Linked DNA regions of Arabidopsis thaliana. The protein of the gene in region 1 interacts with the protein of each later gene in a pairwise test. Each region holds a gene or a part of one and is shown in the gene's direction. Other genes may lie near its edges. The genes, in order: TTG1, ATMYC1, BHLH92 and AT1G68670.

Region 1 (5,516 bases):
ATTTCATATGGTATACCAAAATTAAGTATTCAATTGCTACGTGGATATTAATAATTTGAATTCGGTAACATACTCTTTTTCTTTTTGTTAAACCAAAGAATCTCAAACAAAAGTTTTTGATCATAGTTACTAAATCATTTTTGGTGAATAACCGAGAGAATGTCTCCCGACTTCTATTAAAAAACAAAAATAACAATTACACAATCACTCGTCTTGAACAAACAGGTCTAGAAACATCATCCCGTAAGATTTCATCCGCACACCGGAGAACATAAACAAGAGCATAAAAGCTTAAAGACAAGCATAGTTTGTTAACATGTCCGTAAAATGATTAGCCTCTCTATATGTGAAACACGGTCAATCTAGTTTTTCGATAAAAAACTATAGCGCAAACGTACTGGAAATGATAGCAGATGAGAGTCCCATAACCTTGTCTTCAAAATCTCAACCACCATTTACCACAAATATGGGGATGAAAACAGGCAAACGGTCTCATACGTTGTAAATAAGCATTCTTAATGTCAAGTTGGTAGATAGGCCATAAAATAAGCATCCTTATGTTTAGCGCATAGCCTCCACACCATTCACCCTCCTCATTACGTATCAGACCACCACCAGCCGCGAGTCTCGAATTGCCATAAAATACCCCATCAGTATTTAATTTAAACCAGCCCATAGACGAGATAAGCCATTTTATCAGCTTCTCAACCCGACCAGCCCTTTGTGTTGCCTTTCCGCTACTAGCTCTCGCCTCCAATACCTCCTTAGCTAACTCTCTTATGAACCGCACCCTATTCTTCCATACTTTATTCTCCCCAAAAACTAGCTAATTGAATTACCAACATTTGATCAAGATAATATACTAGGTAGCTAATTAATGAGCTCATTTTTTTTTGTCGTCAATGGGCTAATTTATTAATTACAGTATGAACTATTGACTATTATTCTAAATAAGTGAATATCACGAGTATGTACGAATTATTGGATGTATCTATTTGTATTGATTGATGTAATATCAAATAGTATGAATTTGGAGTAAACGTGGGTTTGGGGTTGAAGCAGGTAGGGCATGTCAAAGTAGGGCGTCTTTCGTTATGTCCCTTTCCTCTAAATTTGAACCTCTGTCATTGTACAGAAAAATCGTAATAACCCATAAATGTGTTTTAAAAAACATTATTTCGAGTTTTCTACACATATTCTAGTCATGTTTAATTTGAATCTTTTCTTATTTAAGTAAGCTTTAGACATTTTTAACCTAAGTTTTCTTCTCCCTTCATAAATTTTGAGATCTATATAATGTTCTTACATTTTGGATCAAGATCTTCATATTCTCATTCCAATTAGTAAAAGATTTTTTCACCTTTTAATCTCTTATCTTTTATTTATATTCTTTAGTTATGTTTATGCTTTTCATCATATTTAGTGGTTAGTTTTTATTATTTATTTATTGATTCATGACTTATGCTAGATTATGATAAGAATTTATGTTACCACTTGATAAATCCTCCATTTGACATGTGTTTAATGCTAGATTTATATTGTCTCCAAATTTACAACTTCGATGTCTTATGATAAATGCCAACAACCAAATTTCAGATAAAGATTAGCAGACTAACTAAGCTTATTATTCACTTGCAAGGTGGAGTGATGTTGAAAGAACCCTCACAGACACGTCATTGGGAAGACTAAATCTCTTTTTAGCACGTTACACCTTTGAGATCGCGTTTATTCCATATGGAGAGAGAGCAACAATACGAGACATGGAGAGGCACCATTACCGCCGGCGCAACTGCTTCCAAATATTGACAAACAAATTTGAATCTGGATCTTCTCTATTCGTGAACAAGGAGATAGAAGCTACGATGAATGCATGGAAGCTTGGTTTGCTTTAATATAAACACTAAAGGGGAGTAGAACTTTCTTGAAAAATTGTATGCAAATTATTTACCGAATGTTAAAAGCTTTTTTCGAATAAATTTTACATTTTCTTAATAATAATAATAAAAAAGGATTGTTGATTATCTTAATCACAAACAATTTATTTTAGCTGAATTAGACAATTGTTAGTAAAATGATTAGAGTGTCACATATTAATGTTGTTAGTGTTTCATGTCATCCTAGTGATCCAATAATTAGGCCATTCTATAGCTCTTAACGTTAAAATAAAAGGCCCATTATCTGAATATACAGAAGCCCATTATCAATAGATACATTAAAAGATACTGATTAATCCAGAGGGTTTATATCTACGCCGTCTCCATTGATTATTTCTCCGTCTCTTGAAAAATCCGACTGACACTGACCTCAAAACTCTCCTCTCACTTTCGTCGTGAAGAAGCCAAATCTCGAATCGAATCAGCACCACACATTTCCATGGATAATTCAGCTCCAGATTCGTTATCCAGATCGGAAACCGCCGTCACATACGACTCACCATATCCACTCTACGCCATGGCTTTCTCTTCTCTCCGCTCATCCTCCGGTCACAGAATCGCCGTCGGAAGCTTCCTCGAAGATTACAACAACCGCATCGACATTCTCTCTTTCGATTCCGATTCAATGACCGTTAAGCCTCTCCCGAATCTCTCCTTCGAGCATCCTTATCCTCCAACAAAGCTAATGTTCAGTCCTCCTTCTCTCCGTCGTCCTTCCTCCGGAGATCTCCTCGCTTCCTCCGGCGATTTCCTCCGTCTTTGGGAAATTAACGAAGATTCATCAACCGTCGAGCCAATCTCGGTTCTCAACAACAGCAAAACGAGCGAGTTTTGTGCGCCGTTGACTTCCTTCGATTGGAACGATGTAGAGCCGAAACGTCTCGGAACTTGTAGTATTGATACGACGTGTACGATTTGGGATATTGAGAAGTCTGTTGTTGAGACTCAGCTTATAGCTCATGATAAAGAGGTTCATGACATTGCTTGGGGAGAAGCTAGGGTTTTCGCATCAGTCTCTGCTGATGGATCCGTTAGGATCTTTGATTTACGTGATAAGGAACATTCTACAATCATTTACGAGAGTCCTCAGCCTGATACGCCTTTGTTAAGACTTGCTTGGAACAAACAAGATCTTAGATATATGGCTACGATTTTGATGGATTCTAATAAGGTTGTGATTCTCGATATTCGTTCGCCGACTATGCCTGTTGCTGAGCTTGAAAGACATCAGGCTAGTGTGAATGCTATAGCTTGGGCGCCTCAGAGCTGTAAACATATTTGTTCTGGTGGTGATGATACACAGGCTCTTATTTGGGAGCTTCCTACTGTTGCTGGACCCAATGGGATTGATCCGATGTCGGTTTATTCGGCTGGTTCGGAGATTAATCAGTTGCAGTGGTCTTCTTCGCAGCCTGATTGGATTGGTATTGCTTTTGCTAACAAAATGCAGCTCCTTAGAGTTTGAGGTGAGAGTTTCTGTTTCGCTACATAATTCTCATTTGCTAGGCCTAGATTCTAATGAGGAAGCATTGATTATTGGTTTAGATTGTGTTGCATTACAGATAGTCTTCTAGGTTTGGTAACTAAACGTTTTTTCGATTCTTGATAACAAAGCCACTAGAGATTTGACACTAACTCGTTTTAGATTTACCTGAATCAATATCTCTGTTAAAATCAATTACTTTGTTATGCATACATAAATCACAGTTTAGTAGTCATATATATTGGCTCTTATTAGCGACAGGTCTCACACTTGCTGTAATGGCTGATAGTGTAGTAGTCATATGTTGGCTTTCATCTAAGTTGATGTATCATATGATGAATAGTTGTACACTCGTCAGGTTCTAATTTTTACCCATAATTCTTCAGTCTATTTTTTTTTGAGACAATCTATTCTTAATTTAACGAAGCCACTAGCTACGTATACAAATATTGTTAATTTAACGAAGTATCTGAGAATTGTTTACTGCTGACTGTGCTGTATGCCCTCAGAAACATATAGAAGTGGAATTGGAAACTTCATGCTGGTTTGAACATCTTTGTATGTGTGCTTCAGGTTTTTGTAACTCATTTAGACAACAGCATTGCATATATACACGCACATATGCAACCTAGAAAATCAAATAACCTTTCCTTATAATTACTATACATTTCACTTGATGTCAGGTGCAGATGTGAAGTGATCAATAAGGATTTTAGCATAGACCCGTATAATCGTCATGTGCGTAAGTAGGTTTGGTTTGCGCTCCCTCTCGCTTTTAGGTCCGCAATGACTCTGTATCTATCTGATTGTAACTAAAACTGAATTCATTTGATGAACCAAATGATACTATTATCTTATGTTGTGTATAAAACCCAACCAGGATATATTGCGGTTTCTGGTGTTTAGATTTGGTAATTGGAGCTTAGTACAATGCAACCCTGTCTTGCTTTATTGGACGTCTCTAAGATAAATCAGCTTGCAATGAATTCCAATGGAGTTTGTCAGTTTGAATTAACTTCTTTGCATAATTAACACAAAGATTTGCAGTATAAATTCCATTGGAAGACTTATTTGTTTATTTGACACAGATTTAAATTGAATTTCAATGGAGTTTCAGTCGACTATGTGACACAAAGATTTGAAATGAACTCCAATGGGAATTTGGTGAGTAAATTATTATAAACAATCCAATGTTTGACACAAATATTTTAGAATCTTCACATCTGAAGTCTTATAAATCGTAGCAAAATTTTCAATCTTGAAAATTATAAAAAATGAGAATTAATTTAAATCACTGATCCGATAATCTCCTCTAGAAATATAAGAATCTATAAACCATTAATAGTAGAATTCCAAAATGTTATAAATCTATATACTATAAATGAAAATTTTACTTTTTAACTTTTGTCTCCATAATATCATACCATACTTAAAATTTTATTTATTTTATTCTAATAATCACAATGTGTTTCTTTGTATATAAATAGAGTTTTTCTAATGGTTTGAGAAGTGATTTGGAAAACATGGATACTCATATTTTTTTCAATTTATAAGATGATCAAAATAGAAAATTTAGCTTATGAAATCTTTTAGATTTAGGAACAAATGTATACTCTAAAATGTAACTATTTGACATGTGTCAAAATGTTTTTAAATTTGTTGTGATCTTGTTACAATTAAGATCAAGCTACTTGTCAGATTTTATGTGATGGGTTAAATTTTACAAAATTCTAGCCCAAATATAAAATACCTACGTCCTCAAAACTTAAAATGCAAGCGATAATAATACAACTTAGAGTACAAAGAGGTTAAAGGTAGATAGAATGTCGACCAGTGAGCTCGCCTGCACTTATGCTGCTCTCATCCTCCACGATGATGGAATCGAGATCACCGTTAGTTTTCTTCTCTTCTCTCTTTCTTCAAATTTGTTTTCTAGCTATTGAGACACTGTTTAGCCTATGTTTTAGTCTCTAGAATCGTCATCTCTCTTTTCTTGCCTTGTGGTTTCAAACTGATCTCACTTAAGTGTTGTAATAATGTAAAATTATTAGGCTGAGAACATATCAAAACTGGTGAAAACAGCCAACGTGAATGTCGAG
Region 2 (5,982 bases), on another chromosome or scaffold:
ATTCATTTTTTGAAGATTTTTTAAGGATAAAATGTGAATTACTATTACCAAAAGAAACATTGTTATTTACTTTGGGACAGCTTCTAGATATGGACCCCAACAAAAAAAAAAAAAAAAAAAACTGAAACTAATACAAGTCAAGACCCAACTATAGTAACTAGGTTTGGGTGAACCATTGGGACAACAATCTTCCACAACCTTTGCGATATTGTCACGGATGGTTATGTCAATCTGCCACAAAACAATCTTAGGAGAGAACTTGAAGTGTTGTGCAATCTCTCATTTCTTTCTCTCCGAAGAAAGAAAATTGTTGCTTGTATAATGAGAATTAAAGACTTCAAGTTCTCACTCAACTTTAAATTTATCTAACTTTTCTCTTTGTCGTGGTTCATGTCGCTTCTTTTTCATCCTGAATGCAATTTGATATAGGATCCCATTGGTTAGGATTGTATATGTTTTGTAAAATTTAGGGTAATATATAGACTTTTATACTATAATTTTATTATTATATACATTTAAAAAATGTCTAGGGCATCTAAAATTAAATTAATTGTTTCTATGAAAATAGAAAATATAAACACAAACATATGGCTATAATGAGTGTGTTGTGCCAACAGAAATAATTTATAAAATTAAACACAAAGTTTTGTCGTTATGGAAATAAATGTGCATGCAACCACAAGTGGTGCGTTACTAAATTATGTAGGGCTTCGTGGATAGAGATGGATCAATTATTATTTTCACGAGTTTCTTGCCTTCATTTCAGCCAGCTCTCTCCTGATCTTGCCTTCAATTTTATTACTATTTTTTTACTGCCACTTGCTATATTTACTTACTTCGGACAAAATAGTGCTTTGATGGTAAACAAATAACGATCGGTATATGCGATGTCTCGCGATTGATTATCAAACTTGAACAGTAGTGTGTATTTGTTTAATATATAATCTATTAGAGTATCATGGAATTATTCGGGTGAAATGCGCATTTATATCTATCATAGAAACTAGAATCTTCACTATCCAAATAGTATATTCCATTTTCTTGCAACTACGTATAACTACATTCTGTTTGTCATATATTTAAGATCGAGTAACAAAAAATTAATCATCTTCATTGATGTGAGCCAGACAAAGAGTTCAATTTTTTTGGTTGTTAAAGTATGTTGATACTTGATACGTTTACCAAAACACAAAAAAACAATGTAGGTCGATACGTTCCATTTCCACACAACAAGATAGATACAAATATATAATGATTGTAAGACAATAAGACCCCGACATGTCTTAACACGAAAAAAAAAGTAACTAAGTTTATATAAACCAACACAAGTTTAACTAAGAATCTAAGAATCTCTACTTTGTTGATTTCATAAGTGTATTCATCTAAATTAGTTATAAGTACAATGTAATATCAACATGTATTTATATTGTCTCTTGTTGGATATTAACTATCCAAACCAAACCTATAATATGAAATCATCAAAACATTAATCATTATGGTCAAACTATCTCAAGTTGTATTCTTTAAAAAGTGTCACGATAAACTCTAACATCATAGTGGATTTAAGACAACACAAATCCAAAAGAGTTAAAAAGATCGGTCTTAAATTTATGATTCATATCCATGCATGATGTTGGCCAATCACCTAGTATAGTAGTAATAACCAAGCTTTTGACTAAATGAATAGGAGGAAACAAAAAAACTATATTGAATCTTTCTTTTTGCAATATTTTTCAGCATCATCACTAATTTAGAGAATATTTTACCTTGGTTTTCACCAAATAGAATCCAACACTATTACCATATGTATTGTATAAAGATAAGTCACTCCAAAAACCAAGATCATGACCCAAGTCAACCACTCTCTCTCATAATTCAGACACAGTACTCAACTTTAAAGACACTCTTTTAAGACTTTCCATCAGGACCAAGCTGAGAAAGAGAAAGCAATAAAGAAAGAAAGAAAAGGAAATAAAGCTTCAATACCAAACCCTTCTTTAATAAATTTTGCCTTTTGGTTGTCTCCTCTTTATCAATCACTTTGGTTCCATACTTTTAAATTCAGTTCTTCACGATATCTAGATATGTCTTTGACAATGGCTGATGGTGTAGAAGCTGCAGCAGGAAGAAGTAAAAGACAAAACAGCTTATTAAGAAAACAACTTGCTTTAGCTGTAAGAAGTGTTCAATGGAGCTACGCAATCTTCTGGTCGTCTTCACTTACTCAACCTGGGTAAGTATAATCTAATATTCATCATGTACCAAAATTATCAGATCTTGTTGTTCTCATCTTTGCATTTCCATTTTCTCTTCTTTTAAATCTTGGGTTACTTATGAGTACTATGTTCTACTAATTTAGGGTTTTGGAGTGGGGAGAAGGATGTTACAATGGAGATATGAAGAAGAGGAAGAAGAGTTATGAATCTCATTATAAATATGGGTTGCAAAAAAGCAAGGAGCTTCGGAAACTTTATTTGTCTATGCTTGAAGGAGACAGTGGTACTACTGTTAGTACTACTCATGATAATCTCAATGATGATGATGATAATTGTCACAGTACAAGTATGATGCTGTCACCAGATGACCTCTCTGATGAAGAGTGGTACTATTTAGTCTCCATGTCCTATGTCTTCTCTCCTTCACAATGGTTTGTTCTCTCACTCTCTCTCTCTCTTCTCCTATGAATTTGTACACTAAAATATATTAGCTCTTGTGAACTATTCATATAGAAAAACCAATTTGCAATAAAGAAGTAATGAGAAATGTCCTTTCATTTTAAGATGAAACATCCATCACTTTGGGTAAAGAGTTTAGTACCACCAAAACCATTTGGTAAATAGTGGAGTGATTATTCCTTTGGGGTTCCTTTTTGTTACACTTTCACCTTTTGCATTTTAAGTAATCCTAGATTAAGTTTTTTTTTTCTCTTTTATGATCATTAATTATTGTCATTTTGGCTTTTTTGGTTGTTTATGTATATACTTTAGTTTGCCTGGAAGAGCTTCAGCGACGGGTGAGACCATATGGCTCTGCAACGCTCAATATGCGGAGAACAAGCTCTTCTCTCGTTCTTTGTTAGCAAGAGTAAGTTCTCAGAAACTTCTAATTTCCTCTTCTTGAATCTTGATATATCAAGATCGAATCTGACTAAAAATCTCCTTTGATCTTCTTTGCTTTTCATTACTGTTCATATGGCTTCTCTCCTTTAGAGCGCATCAATTCAGGTACGTTATAATGTTTGTTATAACTGGATTCTGATTGTTAGAAATAAAAGTTTAGTTCTCTTATTGTTAGAAATGAAAGTTTAGTTATCTATATATCAATTTGGATAGAAGATTTATAGAATGTATCTGTGTTGTTATCTCCAGACTGTTGTGTGTTTCCCTTACTTGGGCGGAGTCATTGAGCTGGGCGTCACTGAATTGGTAACTCTCCATCTTAATATATAAAGTTTTACTTTTGTTGCTTGCTTCACAAGAATTAAATATACCTTACTTTGTTTAATTTTGTTCATGATCAATGAAAGATTTCAGAAGACCATAACCTGCTTCGAAACATCAAATCTTGCTTGATGGAAATATCTGCACACCAAGACAACGATGACGAGAAGAAGATGGAGATTAAGATCAGTGAAGAGAAGCATCAGCTTCCATTAGGTATTTCTGATGAAGACTTGCATTACAAAAGAACCATTTCAACAGTACTCAACTACTCCGCAGATAGATCAGGTAAGAACGATAAGAACATTCGTCATCGTCAGCCAAATATTGTTACTTCTGAACCTGGCTCAAGTTTCTTGCGGTGGAAGCAATGTGAGCAGCAAGTCTCGGGTTTTGTTCAGAAAAAAAAGTCACAGAATGTGTTGCGGAAGATATTGCATGATGTCCCTTTGATGCACACAAAGAGAATGTTCCCAAGTCAGAACTCTGGTCTGAATCAAGATGATCCTTCAGATAGAAGAAAAGAGAACGAAAAGTTCAGTGTCCTTAGAACTATGGTTCCCACTGTCAACGAGGTAATAACTCTTTTTCTAAATCCTTAGAGACAAGACTGTGTTTCAGAAGCCAACACTCTGTTTTGAATCTTTGTGCAGGTTGATAAAGAATCGATACTAAACAACACAATCAAGTACCTGCAAGAACTGGAGGCAAGAGTAGAAGAGCTAGAATCTTGTATGGGATCAGTTAATTTTGTAGAAAGACAAAGAAAGACGACAGAGAACCTTAACGACTCTGTGTTGATCGAAGAGACATCAGGGAACTACGATGATAGCACGAAGATCGATGACAATTCAGGAGAAACCGAACAAGTCACTGTTTTCAGAGATAAGACACATTTGAGAGTTAAACTCAAAGAAACAGAAGTTGTGATCGAAGTAAGATGTTCTTACAGAGACTACATAGTTGCGGACATCATGGAAACTCTGAGCAATCTTCACATGGATGCTTTCTCTGTTAGATCTCACACGCTCAATAAGTTCCTCACATTGAATCTCAAGGCCAAGGTAAATTAATCTTACTGATGTTTGGAAAAGGCAGATTTGGGTTTTCTTGACTTACACGTAACGTTTTTGGGTTTATGCATGCAGTTTCGCGGGGCTGCAGTTGCGTCCGTAGGAATGATTAAGCGAGAGCTGAGAAGAGTCATTGGTGATTTGTTTTAATGTTCTTCTTAGTAAAAATTCTTATATTTTCTTAAACTTTTGATGAAATGTTATATTTATCTAGACTTTCGTGAACCGATATGCGATGTGCCATTATCTTTACATCAAGTTTTCAGGGTTTTTGTATGTAAAGTTTGCCAAAGTTTGGTTGGAATTTTCGACAACGTTGTCTCTTCCTCTTCTACAAAACCAAGATCTATACTTATTCATAATTCATGGGCGATTTGTATCTTTCATTAATGATTGTTTTGAGCTATTATATTATTTGTATTGATAGAAAAAAATAACCAATTGGCTTTGGCTCAACTTCTTTCCCGTGAAGAGGATGGATCATATACATATCCTATTGTAATTTGAATGAACCCTATTGGGTCAAGGATCATGATCTCATGGGAAAGCTAATGAGCTTTATCCACCTCAAAGCCAATTGGTTACTAATGCTTGAACTAAATCTGTCTTATATACTAGCTAAAATTTCCATATGTTTCCGATGTGGGATTTGTTAAAGTTACTAATGCAATTTTTCTGCCGACATTATCATAATAAGTTGTACCTTAAACCTCAAGTAATTGATTTGGTCCTCATAGGCTATTAGGTTTAGTGGGCTTTTGGGCCGTATTAAACCCGTTTGATTAGAAAAGCTAGCGCTCGCCAAAAGCCCTAAACTTGTCTCGTAGCCTCAACCTCTTGATATTATGCTTCGTTTAGGTCGTCATGTGTGATTCTGTGCTTCAGTTTCTTTCTAAATCCTTAAATAAACGGATTGATATTTACTAAACGGAGGATAATGTAACTTGAAAAGGTATTTATTGAAAACTGTTGATTCTTTCTTGAATGCATAATTAATGGTGTTCTCTTGTAACTCATAGAGCCTCCAAAGAAGTAGTAAATGTTATGGTGCGTTATAAAATTTGATTGTTTCACTTGCATTATATATCTCCAATTGATGCAGCCTTCACGCTAATTACCATACACTACTTCTTAATTTCTTAAAGTCTTTTGAGTATTTGATTTTCTTGGATGTCACATATGAAGAGAGGGATATTGGAAGTATTTCTCATTGATGCTCATGGAATCACACACACAAATTTTATCGGTGATTATGAAAAGACAAAACCTTCTTCATATATGTTATATATCAAACTAAAATCGTTATTTTTAATCATTTTGGTTTGTAGGAACTCCTGTGTATTATGTGCTCTTACAATGTGGGACAAAGGAATACCGTAGCAAAATGTCAAAAGGTTCAAGTTTTGTTACTCTTTAGTAATTTTGTTTTTCCTCTTAGCCAAATGTATATTAGAAAACATTTTTGGCTC
Region 3 (4,984 bases), 9.2 Mb from region 1:
ATGGATATCATGCTTAAGCCACTCGTGGAGGATTTTATCTTTCCTATTTGCAAAGGCAAGGCGTATATATTACTTAAAAATGCATTAGAAAGACTTTTAAAAAGTAACATTAAACTTCACTATGTTGTTTTGCAGTATTCTTCCCTCAAGTGTGTGGAACAATGTTTGACACTCAACATGGATTCGTTATTGAAAATTGTGAAGATAGGGATGCTGAATTAGGTGAGTCCCTTTTGATTTTCTGATATTACTTGAGAAAACCAGAGTGAATTCTTTAATCTGGTGCAGTGATCTTTTAAATCTGCAGGCTTTCATGTGGAAAATTCAGACATTACATTGAATGTTTGTTTGAGTAAACAAAGTGAGGGAGGGGAAATATTATTCACAGGCACACGATGCAATAAACATTTGAAAGCAGGTCCAAAGCCAGAGGTATGTGAGTCCTCTTACGTTCCTATATTCAGTAAATGGCAAAATGGTTAGCTAATAAAGGAACCAATTATTTCTCACTGAAACAGGAAATTTTTGAGTACTGTCATGAACCGGGTCAAGCTATACTTCACCTTGGCTGCCACAGCCATGGTGCAAAAGCCGCCATAACATCTTGTAGTCGGGCCAATATGATTCTTTGGTGCATAAAGTAAGCAATCATGAAGCTTGCCTCAGGATTTCAGATCACAACTAAAACACCTTTTCTTCTGCATTTCCATTTGCAGCTCTTTGTTCAGAGAGATGCAAACTTATGACAACGAATTCCGAGACTGGTGCGGTCAATGCGCCCGTGAAAAGAAAGAAAAGAAAAGCCAGAGTCTTGCTTCCAAAAGAAAGGTTAAGAAAAGAAAAAAGGACATGATTTTGCTCAAGTTTATAAGATGTTTTGTTTGAGCATGGTTATGAACCTGTGGGGGTCCTTATTGCAGGAGATGATTAGGATAATAGAGTGAAGCCGAAGCCCGCTGAAAAAAATGAAGTCTATGCTTTGAATTTTGACTCTTTACTTGGAAAATAACACTGAGTATATGTAGAATCATTTGATGTAAATAGGTCTTTGTGTCTTCGAATTTCTTACATTACTACTATGTACATGAAAGTTACCAGTTACATGTTTAGGATCGGCTATATGTTTACAGTTTACTCGCCGTATCGAAGCAGTGTTCAGTGTCAGCTGAAAAAGAGTACATATAGCCGGTCCATTCGGTTAGACTCATGAAAACCGGTTTAGTAATCATATGTTTACAGTGTCAGCTTTTTTTTTGAAATGTATGATTTGGTTAACCGGTTTTAAAATTGTGAACCAATTCAATTGTGCAATTCCGAACACTAGCGATTCGAAGTAGAGAAAGTAACATTGTACCAAGCTAAACCAACGGCGATGAATGCTAGAACCGCGATGTGATGTGTGATTAAAGAGAAGGTTAGGAGGAAGTAGAGGATGATAAATTGATTCGGAAATGTGTGAGGTTTTGTGTGACGCGTGTGGTGGCGTCGGCGATGGACTAGCGGCGCTGGTGATTGGTTGTGCGGTTTCTTTAACGCCGGAGATTACTTGATTCGCCACCATTGTTGCTCTGGATTCTAGAAACTTCTGAAAATCCTAAATTCGTTGGGAAAAGAGGAGAAAGTCAAACTGATTCATGAGAAGTTAAGAAAGCCCAAGCCCATTAAATTGAGTATCACTTAATTCGTTATTTATACTAAAAAAGATCGTTTTCTAGAATCGAAGTTGGTAGTGTAAAAGAAAAAGAAGTTGAAGAAGCAAGAATTTTCCATCGAAGTGGTCAATTATCCGAGTGTAGTAAAGATAAAATCTCTTATCAGAAAATAAAATAATCGAAGTTGGTCAATATTTTTAGTCAAGTCATTCACACGAGGAAATTTCCCACCCAAGAGTTAGGATACGTGGAAAGAAAATCTCAATGACTAATGTGTTACAATAATTAGACGAAGAATAAACTAATGCCACACACACACACGCACAAATTCCACTTGTGATGACTGATGAACTTAATTATTATTATTAAACCCTAAGGTTTGATAAAACGGTATAGGGCCGGCTCTTTTCTTTTCTCCACGGTGTTGTGTTTTTTGAACTCACAAAGGAGATTTTGTACTTTAACTTCAAAAAGAAAATTGGTTAATTTGAAAACAAACAAACAAATAGTTATAGCTTTTACGCGTCACGTAATGTCTAAATTTTGTTGCCAAGACACGTCACTTGACTTTCTCTAGAGTTCACCTTTGATACATCATTTGACTGTCTCTGGTTTTCTCCTATATACGTCACTTCATCTAACCAAGAAGCTGAGAAAACTATTCATTGACCACGTTCTCAATATGTTTCACGTGTGTTAAATCAACAAAACCACACGTGATTAAATCATAATAGGTATATAGACACACCACACAAAAGACAACATCAAAAATCACACAAATCAAGATTGTCAAACACACTAAGAGAGAAAGATGGATAACTTTTTTCTAGGTTTGAGTTGTCAAGAAGAAAACAACTTCTGGGATCTAATCGTGGCCGACATCTCGGGTGATAGAAGCGTCAGTGTACCTATCAGAAGCGCCTTTAGGTCATATATGAAGGACACGGAACTGAGGATGATGTCGCCGAAGATATCTTCTTCGAAGGTGAACGTGAAGAAGAGAATGGTCAATCTTCTGAGAAAGAATTGGGAGGAGAAGAAAAATACGGTGGCTCCAGAGAAGGAAAGAAGCCGGCGACATATGTTGAAAGAAAGGACGAGAAGAGAGAAACAAAAACAGAGTTACTTAGCTCTCCATTCTCTACTACCATTTGCCACTAAGGTACCTTGATTATTTGTGTAATATTAAACTTGAAACGAACTTTATTTTTCTTAATGACTTGGAAAGAAAATCATAGTAGTTCTAACAAAAATCCGAATTTTTACAGTTCAAAATGGCACACAAAATTAGATATTCGGTAGAAATGGATTAGATTCATGGATACTAAATTTTCAGAATTTCGACTACTATGTCTGTTCACTGATCTTTGATGTTTGTATGCTTAATTACATGCATTGATCTGGTTTTAGAAGCTTATCTTAAATATCTATAAATTTATATTGAGTAAGGTATAATATAAAGTTTTGAGTATGATAAATTTCCAACTACAATCATTTGTATAAAATGTTTGTAAGTTTTTGCACTGGAATCTTTTCTTTTATCACTATTTTCTTTTACTTAAGGATTTTGATATAGAAACAAGTTTAAAGAACATCATAGATTGATATCGAAACAAGTTTCAAGACCATCATTTCTCCTTATATTCTCATTTTATTTCAGAATGACAAAAATTCGATTGTCGAAAAAGCCGTGGATGAGATTGCGAAATTACAAAGATTAAAGAAAGAACTAGTGAGAAGAATTAAAGTGATTGAGGAAAAATCAGCAAAGGATGGTCATGATGAAATGAGTGAAACAAAGGTTAGGGTTAATCTAAAAGAACCTTTGTCTGGACTAGATTCAATGCTTGAAGCGCTTCATTATCTTAAATCAATGGGAACAAAACTGAAAACAGTCCATGCCAATTTCTCTCCTCAAGAGTTTTCTGCGACCATGACCATCGAGACTCAGGTACATATTTAATTCGATTCGAATTGGTTGAATCCGGTTTTGGTTTCTCTTTGGTTATGACAACTTGACAAGTACATAAAGGTAATAATAGGTAGGTTGTTTTGTGTTAGTAGCAAAAAAAAAGTAGATGGTTGTATGTTTTTTTAATTAAGTAGTTAGATCTGTATTAGTGTGATGATATTAAATTTAAAGTTAACTTTTTGGCAGATTAGAGGAGAGGAGGTTGAAAAGAGAGTGGAAAGAAGACTCCAGGAAACTGAATGGAAACTTCTCTTTCTCCCAGAAGCTTCCTTTTACAAAGACTACTAATTCTGTTGACTTTCTGTCATTAATTTTCTTTTGTATTTAAATTTGTATATAGTTAAATACTTAAATTAACTGGTCATTGCTTTATTGACACACATAAAGAAAAATAATGGGGCACACTACTTTTGAGTTTTGAGTTTTGAGGTTTGAAAAATAAAACTAAGAAAATAATATTGATAGAATATAATAGAAAATTTATCAAGTATATAACCATATATAGTGCCAAAATTTGCAAATTGTGTGATAGATAATTTGGTAAATATGTAATGCATTTTATCAATAAAAAATACCATAAAATTTGATTAAAACCAGCATAAAAACCTATCCCAATTAAAGTTTATTTTGAAAAATAGAAATTGGAAAGTTCAATACTTTGGCTATTATTATTTATTATTCAATACTATTTACTACGTACACTCTATAGTAAGAGTTTTTAAACATACAATGTTATTCTTCAACTTAATACGTTGCTGGAACAAGTAAACAACTCAAAACATTAAATAACTAGGAACATAGGGATTAATATATTTGTGCGTTACAATCTTAATAATTGTGAACTAGTACTATCTTATTAGCAAATACACTTGTTCACCATGTGGTTCATTATTTAATTACTTATGAAATCGCCAAAAAAGACCATAGATTTGTCATAGGAAATACAAAAATGGATAATAAACTTTCACCTACCGAGTCAAAACAAGAAGGAACTAAACAAGAAAACAGCTCCTTCAACCAAAACTTTTTGCATATTTATCAAATATTTGAAAACTTTAAATTTGGTAAAATGAATGAGGAGCAAAATAAGATAATTTAACACAGTACTCAAATCTAAACCCTCCTGGTGGAGTTAAACAGAAAGTCATCAAAATAATTATCGAAATTAAGACTTAAAAATGAGATCAAAGTCATCTAAGAAGATAGATATGGAGATAAGTAGCTTCTTCACTTGAGAGGGATAAACCTGGAGGAATTGGTAGCACCAACACCAGGCCTACCGTGCTTTACCGGTTTGTATGAGATTGAGAACTCAGCCAAGTAATGTCCAATCATCTCCGGCTTGATCTCGACTTGGTTA
Region 4 (5,449 bases), on another chromosome or scaffold:
AGAGAGGCTAAGGTTAGGTTGGTAACTGGAATAGAAACCGGAGCCTATTTTCTTAAACCATTTTCAACGGAAGTTTCTTAAATCCAGCCACTTTGTGAAATAAATCTTGGAGTTGAGATTTATTTACATTTGCTGCCACTGATATTTAATAATTGTTTTTGATAATTAGAAAGAAAATCTTCTAATTAAATATTTGACATTTAATAATCTTCCCAAAATCTTTCTACCTTAACTACACAATTAATTACTAAAATAAAACTTCCAAAATATTTAATATCATTTAATTACTACAAAATTATCATTTTTGATATTTTTGCTTTTCGGCATGACTATAACAATTCAATTATAATCATCAAACCGCAGAGATATTTGATAGCATTTAATTACCACAAAATTACAAAATATTTAGACAATAATTCATAAACATATCATAAATAAGATCAACATTAATAAAATAAATAGTTTTTTTACGGGACGGGTTGACGGGACGGGTTTGGCAGGATGTTATTTAATAACAATTGTAAACTATAAAATAAAAATATTTTATAGATAGATACAATTTGCAAACTTTTATGTATACTAACTTTAAAAAATAAATTATTTCTGCGGTGTACCGCGGGTTAAAATCTAGTGAGTTTTTAAAATAGAATCAAGTGTAAATATAGATAAATAATATATTTTAATGATGAGGTTCTTACATTTGAAGAAACTTAGTTCAATTGACTCTTAGTTAAGAAACAATTGGACTAAGTTTCTTCAAATTTAAGAAACCAAACTAATATTTAAACAATATAATATTTTTATTATATATCAAGAATTTTGTTTAGAAACTCCCATTGAAAAAACTCTTAACTTCCATGTTCTTGGTAGTTTCCCTTGGACTCAGAGTCATATGTTTTATTTTTGTGCATTGCCAATTGACAATTATTGCATTAACTGATTAACCGTCTCTTTTTAGCTCTAATTGACACTCTTAACTTTGTTGTTTAATTGTGGCTATGCAATAGCTATTATGAAGAGAACTCCAATACATGTGTTGGAGTCTTGGAGATCTTACTTGCATCTTCAAACATTCATAATACTACAACTTAGACATTGTTTGTTTTCTTTTCCCATGGAAACAAATTTTATCATGTGCTAATAATAAAGGTAAGAATTGATGGAGCCAATCTCGTTTAAATCTATATGTCCCACACCTCCCACATAAAGACCAAACATGTATTAGCTCCATCAGATTGAGACAACAAAGTTCTATGTGTAGATTTAGATGTTTTTTCTTAAAACAGATTTGATTAAGAACATGTGGAATGAATCTGATATTTGCCTATTATGATGATGATTAAAGCAATAAGCATGTTGTAACTTTCCATCTACAAGAAAACAGTTGATCATTTCAATCGACCTTCAAATAGTTTCATCAATCATACATAAGTAGACCCATAAAATAAAATTTTGATGATCCTAATGGTGATTATTGTGAATGAAATTAGTCCAAAATCTTGCTGTATCTAAAAAACACAAAAATACTATTATCATATTCATATGCATTAACTCATCCTATCAAGGAATCGAACCACCAAAGAACCGTTTGTTTTTCTTAAAAAGATAACGACGAAACCAATAAGATAAATGAATATGACAAAAGCAGAGAATCTGGTTGCATCAATTGAATATTTGGTCACGTGGGTACGCGCTCTATGCGCGTGAACATTTAGCAAATTGGCTCTTGAGGAATATGAAAGGTCGGATATGTAAATAATTAATACGCGGCGTGGGCAAATGTGATTCTCACACTTCCTTCCAAAAGATTCTTCTTTCTATTTTTTTTTTTTTTTTTCCTCCCCTAGAATATTCCTTCACCAAATTAGCTCATTTCCAATTCAAATTTTAATATTCGTTCTAAATATCTGTAAAAACGTAGTCGAGTGGTAGGTTACATAAATTGTGAATGATTAACGTTTGGAGTTGGAATTAAGATATCACTAATGATATGATTTATTGTCATTGAAAGTTTTAAACATAATTTTTCCTTATGAGATAGTAGTAGTATTTTAATTTATTTAATGAAACGCATATTTGTTAGGTGAACGTCAATTTTTATGATTTTTGGAAAAGACGCATAATAAAAACCAAATCTTTAAATTTGAAATTCTAAATCATAAAATCTCCATTTAATGAATAGATTTGCCCATATAGAAACACAGAAAATCATTTCTATTAGATGATAGTTAAGTTAAATGAAGGATAAAACAATCGTTGGAAAACAAAACTCTGGAATCTTAATTAGGGGAGAAGAAAAATGGTTGAGTTTTCGTTCTTATCTGAAAAAAAAAAGCTAAAGAGATTGGAATAGTGACGTCAGTTCCAGCCCATACAAAGAGATGCGAACCTATAATCGAATCTGATCCTCCGAATATTCACCCATCATCTTCACGATATTACTATTTTACCCTTCTCTTCCAAAAGAGAAAAAAACATTTTAACTCTCAAAGATTCGTTTTAGGTACGCGACGGCCCGACCTCGATTCTCTTCCACTTCTTTCTTGTTCCAAAAACCTAAACCCTCTCTCTCTCTCTCTCTCTCTCTATCTCTTGAAAAATCAACAAAACATTGGAATCAATTTCTCTATGTTTTGATTCTATTTTAAAGATCCAATATTCTTTCTCCATTGAGATTAAGCTTCTTTCTCGCTGTCGTCTCTCTATAGATCTTGGTTCTTAGTCCCTTTTGAATAATAATGATGGTGGAGATGGATTACGCTAAGAAAATGCAGAAATGTCATGAATACGTTGAAGCACTTGAAGAAGAACAGAAGAAAATCCAAGTCTTTCAACGCGAGCTTCCTTTATGTTTAGAGCTTGTCACTCAAGGTAATAATAATCCAATCAAAATCTCCAATTTTTAAACAAGTCTCTTACAAATCTTGATGGGGTTTTGTTATGTTTTGTTTCTGTATAGCGATCGAAGCTTGTCGGAAGGAGTTATCTGGTACGACGACAACTACATCAGAACAGTGTTCAGAACAGACCACAAGTGTTTGTGGTGGTCCTGTCTTTGAAGAGTTTATTCCTATCAAGAAAATTAGTTCCTTGTGTGAAGAAGTACAAGAAGAAGAAGAAGAAGATGGTGAACATGAATCTTCTCCAGAACTTGTGAATAATAAGAAATCAGATTGGCTTAGATCTGTTCAGCTATGGAATCATTCACCGGATCTAAATCCAAAAGAGGTATTTAAAGTTTTGAGCTTTTTAAAGGAGTTTTAGTTTTCGATTATGAGGAAATAATCATGTGTTAATTGAATTATAGGAGCGTGTAGCTAAGAAAGCGAAAGTGGTGGAGGTGAAACCAAAAAGCGGTGCGTTTCAGCCGTTTCAAAAGCGCGTTTTGGAGACTGATTTGCAACCGGCGGTGAAAGTAGCTAGTTCGATGCCAGCGACGACGACGAGTTCTACGACGGAAACTTGTGGTGGTAAAAGTGATTTGATTAAAGCTGGAGATGAGGAAAGACGGATAGAGCAGCAGCAATCGCAGTCGCATACGCATAGAAAACAAAGGCGGTGCTGGTCGCCGGAATTACACCGTCGATTCCTAAACGCGCTTCAGCAGCTTGGAGGATCTCATGGTAATTACGATTAATTTTAATTACCTGATTATCTTCTATCTGATTGGTTCATTAGTGATTCATAATCGGGTTGATAAAGAACTGTTTTTAAACATTAAAACGTCTCAACATTTACATTATATTAGTAAGTAACAAAGATTATTATCAACATTAAAAAATGATTTTTATTTGACATTTTATTTGCCAATCTTGCAGTTGCTACACCAAAGCAAATCAGGGATCACATGAAGGTTGATGGATTAACAAACGACGAAGTTAAAAGCCATTTACAGGTTAGTGATTAATGATTCTTATGTTATAATCACAAGTTCGTGAAATTGGTAATTAAATGAAATGTTACTCAAGTTCTTAACCATTTTTTGTGTAATATTTCAGAAATATAGACTTCACACAAGAAGGCCAGCAGCAACATCCGTGGCGGCACAAAGTACCGGGAATCAGCAACAACCACAATTTGTGGTGGTTGGAGGCATATGGGTACCATCGTCACAAGATTTTCCACCACCGTCCGATGTAGCCAACAAGGGTGGTGTATATGCTCCGGTTGCGGTGGCGCAATCTCCAAAACGTTCGTTGGAGAGAAGTTGCAACTCGCCGGCGGCATCTTCCTCTACAAATACAAATACTTCTACTCCTGTGTCATAATCTGATAGTCATACTATAATCATCTCCTGATGTTGATTTTGGTGTAGGTTTGAAAATGTTTATGTGAATGTAAGAAATATTTTCGTCCGTTTTTGTTTGTAACCAAGAAATGTTATTTCCTCGGTTGGAAATTTTGAATAAAGTAGACGAATGCTACTATGTAGTATATACACGAGATAAGTGAAGACTCTTTGTTTTTCTAACTTTGGATATTTACTAAAATATCTTCTTGTTTTTGGTGTCTAATTTAGACAGATCTTCGTGATGAATCTGATGGCAAAGGTTATAATTCATCACCTTCGTAAATAGTAAAATACAAAGGTAGATAAGAGAATCTAAGATGAATTGAGAATAACGTGCGTGAATGGTGATGTAGATATTTGGTGTGACAATTAGAAGTGATTTATTTATGGTAACGCTTGCTTAAAACAAAGGTCCATGAATCGACCAACTAACCATTCACAGAATTGAATACCAAATCTATCTTTTTGCATGGCAATTTATTAAAATAAATCTAACGTGGCCGCCTCTGAATCTTGCTTAATAGAATAGTAACCACTAACCATAATCAAATCATTAATTTAGATTTTTTATTTTTTGTCGGCCAATTTAGATTATAGTATCTTTTTTTTTTTCCTTCACATATCTTACGGTAATTGACTCGAACCGGAATTTCTTTAGAAAATTCAAAACCAGTTTAATAATCGGGTTCATGGAGAATAAAAAGGTCATGTTCTGATTTTTATAATAAGTCCTTGTTGACTAAGTCCTTGTTGAATAAGTCTTCCTAGATTATAGGAAAGTGGACGATTAAATTTGTATTATGTTTTGATTTTATATGTTATAGAATTTCAGGTCGATAAAAATTGTGACATTTGCATTGTGTCTAGGGTCTTTCGGGTTTTTTTTTTTTTTTTTTTTAACTTGATTTGTAGGGAGGATAATCTTGGGTCTATACAAGCAAGACGAATTCTTACGTAATTTTGTTTCTTTGTTTTGAATAAAACTGGATAAATCGTGACTAGGGGCTGGAGATCAATAAATCGTGACTTCCCTCCAACTGATACGGATTCTACAACTATTTGAATTTTATAAGGAATTTCAATAACTTGTTCACTTTTTAAATATACAATAGTTTTGTACAACTAGTAAAAAATATTCATATTTCCATTATAATCATT

The links.
Region 2: the proteins of TTG1 (region 1) and ATMYC1 interact in a two-hybrid assay, tested with the Arabidopsis thaliana proteins (2 studies listed by BioGRID).
Region 3: the proteins of TTG1 (region 1) and BHLH92 interact in a two-hybrid assay, tested with the Arabidopsis thaliana proteins (2 studies listed by BioGRID).
Region 4: the proteins of TTG1 (region 1) and AT1G68670 interact in binary tests that used the Arabidopsis thaliana proteins (3 or more experiments, as listed by UniProt).

The regions. Positions count from the first base shown.
Region 1 is NC_003076.8:8,369,591-8,375,106, reverse strand, and holds TTG1 (Transducin/WD40 repeat-like superfamily protein), read left to right. Parts: upstream 1-2,259; 5' UTR 2,260-2,373; coding exon 2,374-3,399; 3' UTR 3,400-3,400; intron 3,401-3,926; exon of another isoform or gene 3,927-3,975; intron 3,976-4,100; 3' UTR 4,101-4,790; downstream 4,791-5,516. Other genes in the region: AT5G24510 (60S acidic ribosomal protein family), read left to right, coding at 5,241-5,309, 5,469-5,516.
Region 2 is NC_003075.7:215,787-221,768, reverse strand, and holds ATMYC1 (basic helix-loop-helix (bHLH) DNA-binding superfamily protein), read left to right. Parts: upstream 1-1,987; 5' UTR 1,988-2,084; coding exon 2,085-2,233; intron 2,234-2,359; coding exon 2,360-2,647; intron 2,648-2,987; coding exon 2,988-3,084; intron 3,085-3,209; coding exon 3,210-3,224; intron 3,225-3,368; coding exon 3,369-3,425; intron 3,426-3,526; coding exon 3,527-4,015; intron 4,016-4,093; coding exon 4,094-4,504; coding exon of another isoform or gene 4,505-4,513; exon of another isoform or gene 4,514-4,535; intron 4,536-4,588; coding exon 4,589-4,649; coding exon of another isoform or gene 4,650-4,663; exon of another isoform or gene 4,664-4,727; coding exon 4,728-4,903; 3' UTR 4,904-4,957; downstream 4,958-5,982. Other genes in the region: AT4G00467 (Calcium-dependent lipid-binding (CaLB domain) family protein), read left to right, coding at 5,693-5,759, 5,842-5,907. UniProt on the Arabidopsis thaliana protein: Trancsription activator, when associated with MYB75/PAP1 or MYB90/PAP2.
Region 3 is NC_003076.8:17,532,238-17,537,221, reverse strand, and holds BHLH92 (basic helix-loop-helix (bHLH) DNA-binding superfamily protein), read left to right. Parts: upstream 1-2,425; 5' UTR 2,426-2,463; coding exon 2,464-2,814; intron 2,815-3,312; coding exon 3,313-3,603; coding exon of another isoform or gene 3,604-3,615; exon of another isoform or gene 3,616-3,810; coding exon 3,811-3,912; 3' UTR 3,913-4,092; downstream 4,093-4,984. Other genes in the region: AT5G43660 (2-oxoglutarate (2OG) and Fe(II)-dependent oxygenase superfamily protein), read left to right, coding at 1-55, 136-222, 308-432, 519-640, 717-885; AT5G43640 (Ribosomal protein S19 family protein), read right to left, coding at 4,852-4,984.
Region 4 is NC_003070.9:25,779,606-25,785,054, forward strand, and holds AT1G68670 (myb-like transcription factor family protein), read left to right. Parts: upstream 1-2,195; 5' UTR 2,196-2,738; coding exon 2,739-2,871; intron 2,872-2,959; coding exon 2,960-3,228; intron 3,229-3,307; coding exon 3,308-3,623; intron 3,624-3,818; coding exon 3,819-3,895; intron 3,896-3,998; coding exon 3,999-4,268; 3' UTR 4,269-4,513; downstream 4,514-5,449. UniProt on the Arabidopsis thaliana protein: Probable transcription factor involved in phosphate homeostasis.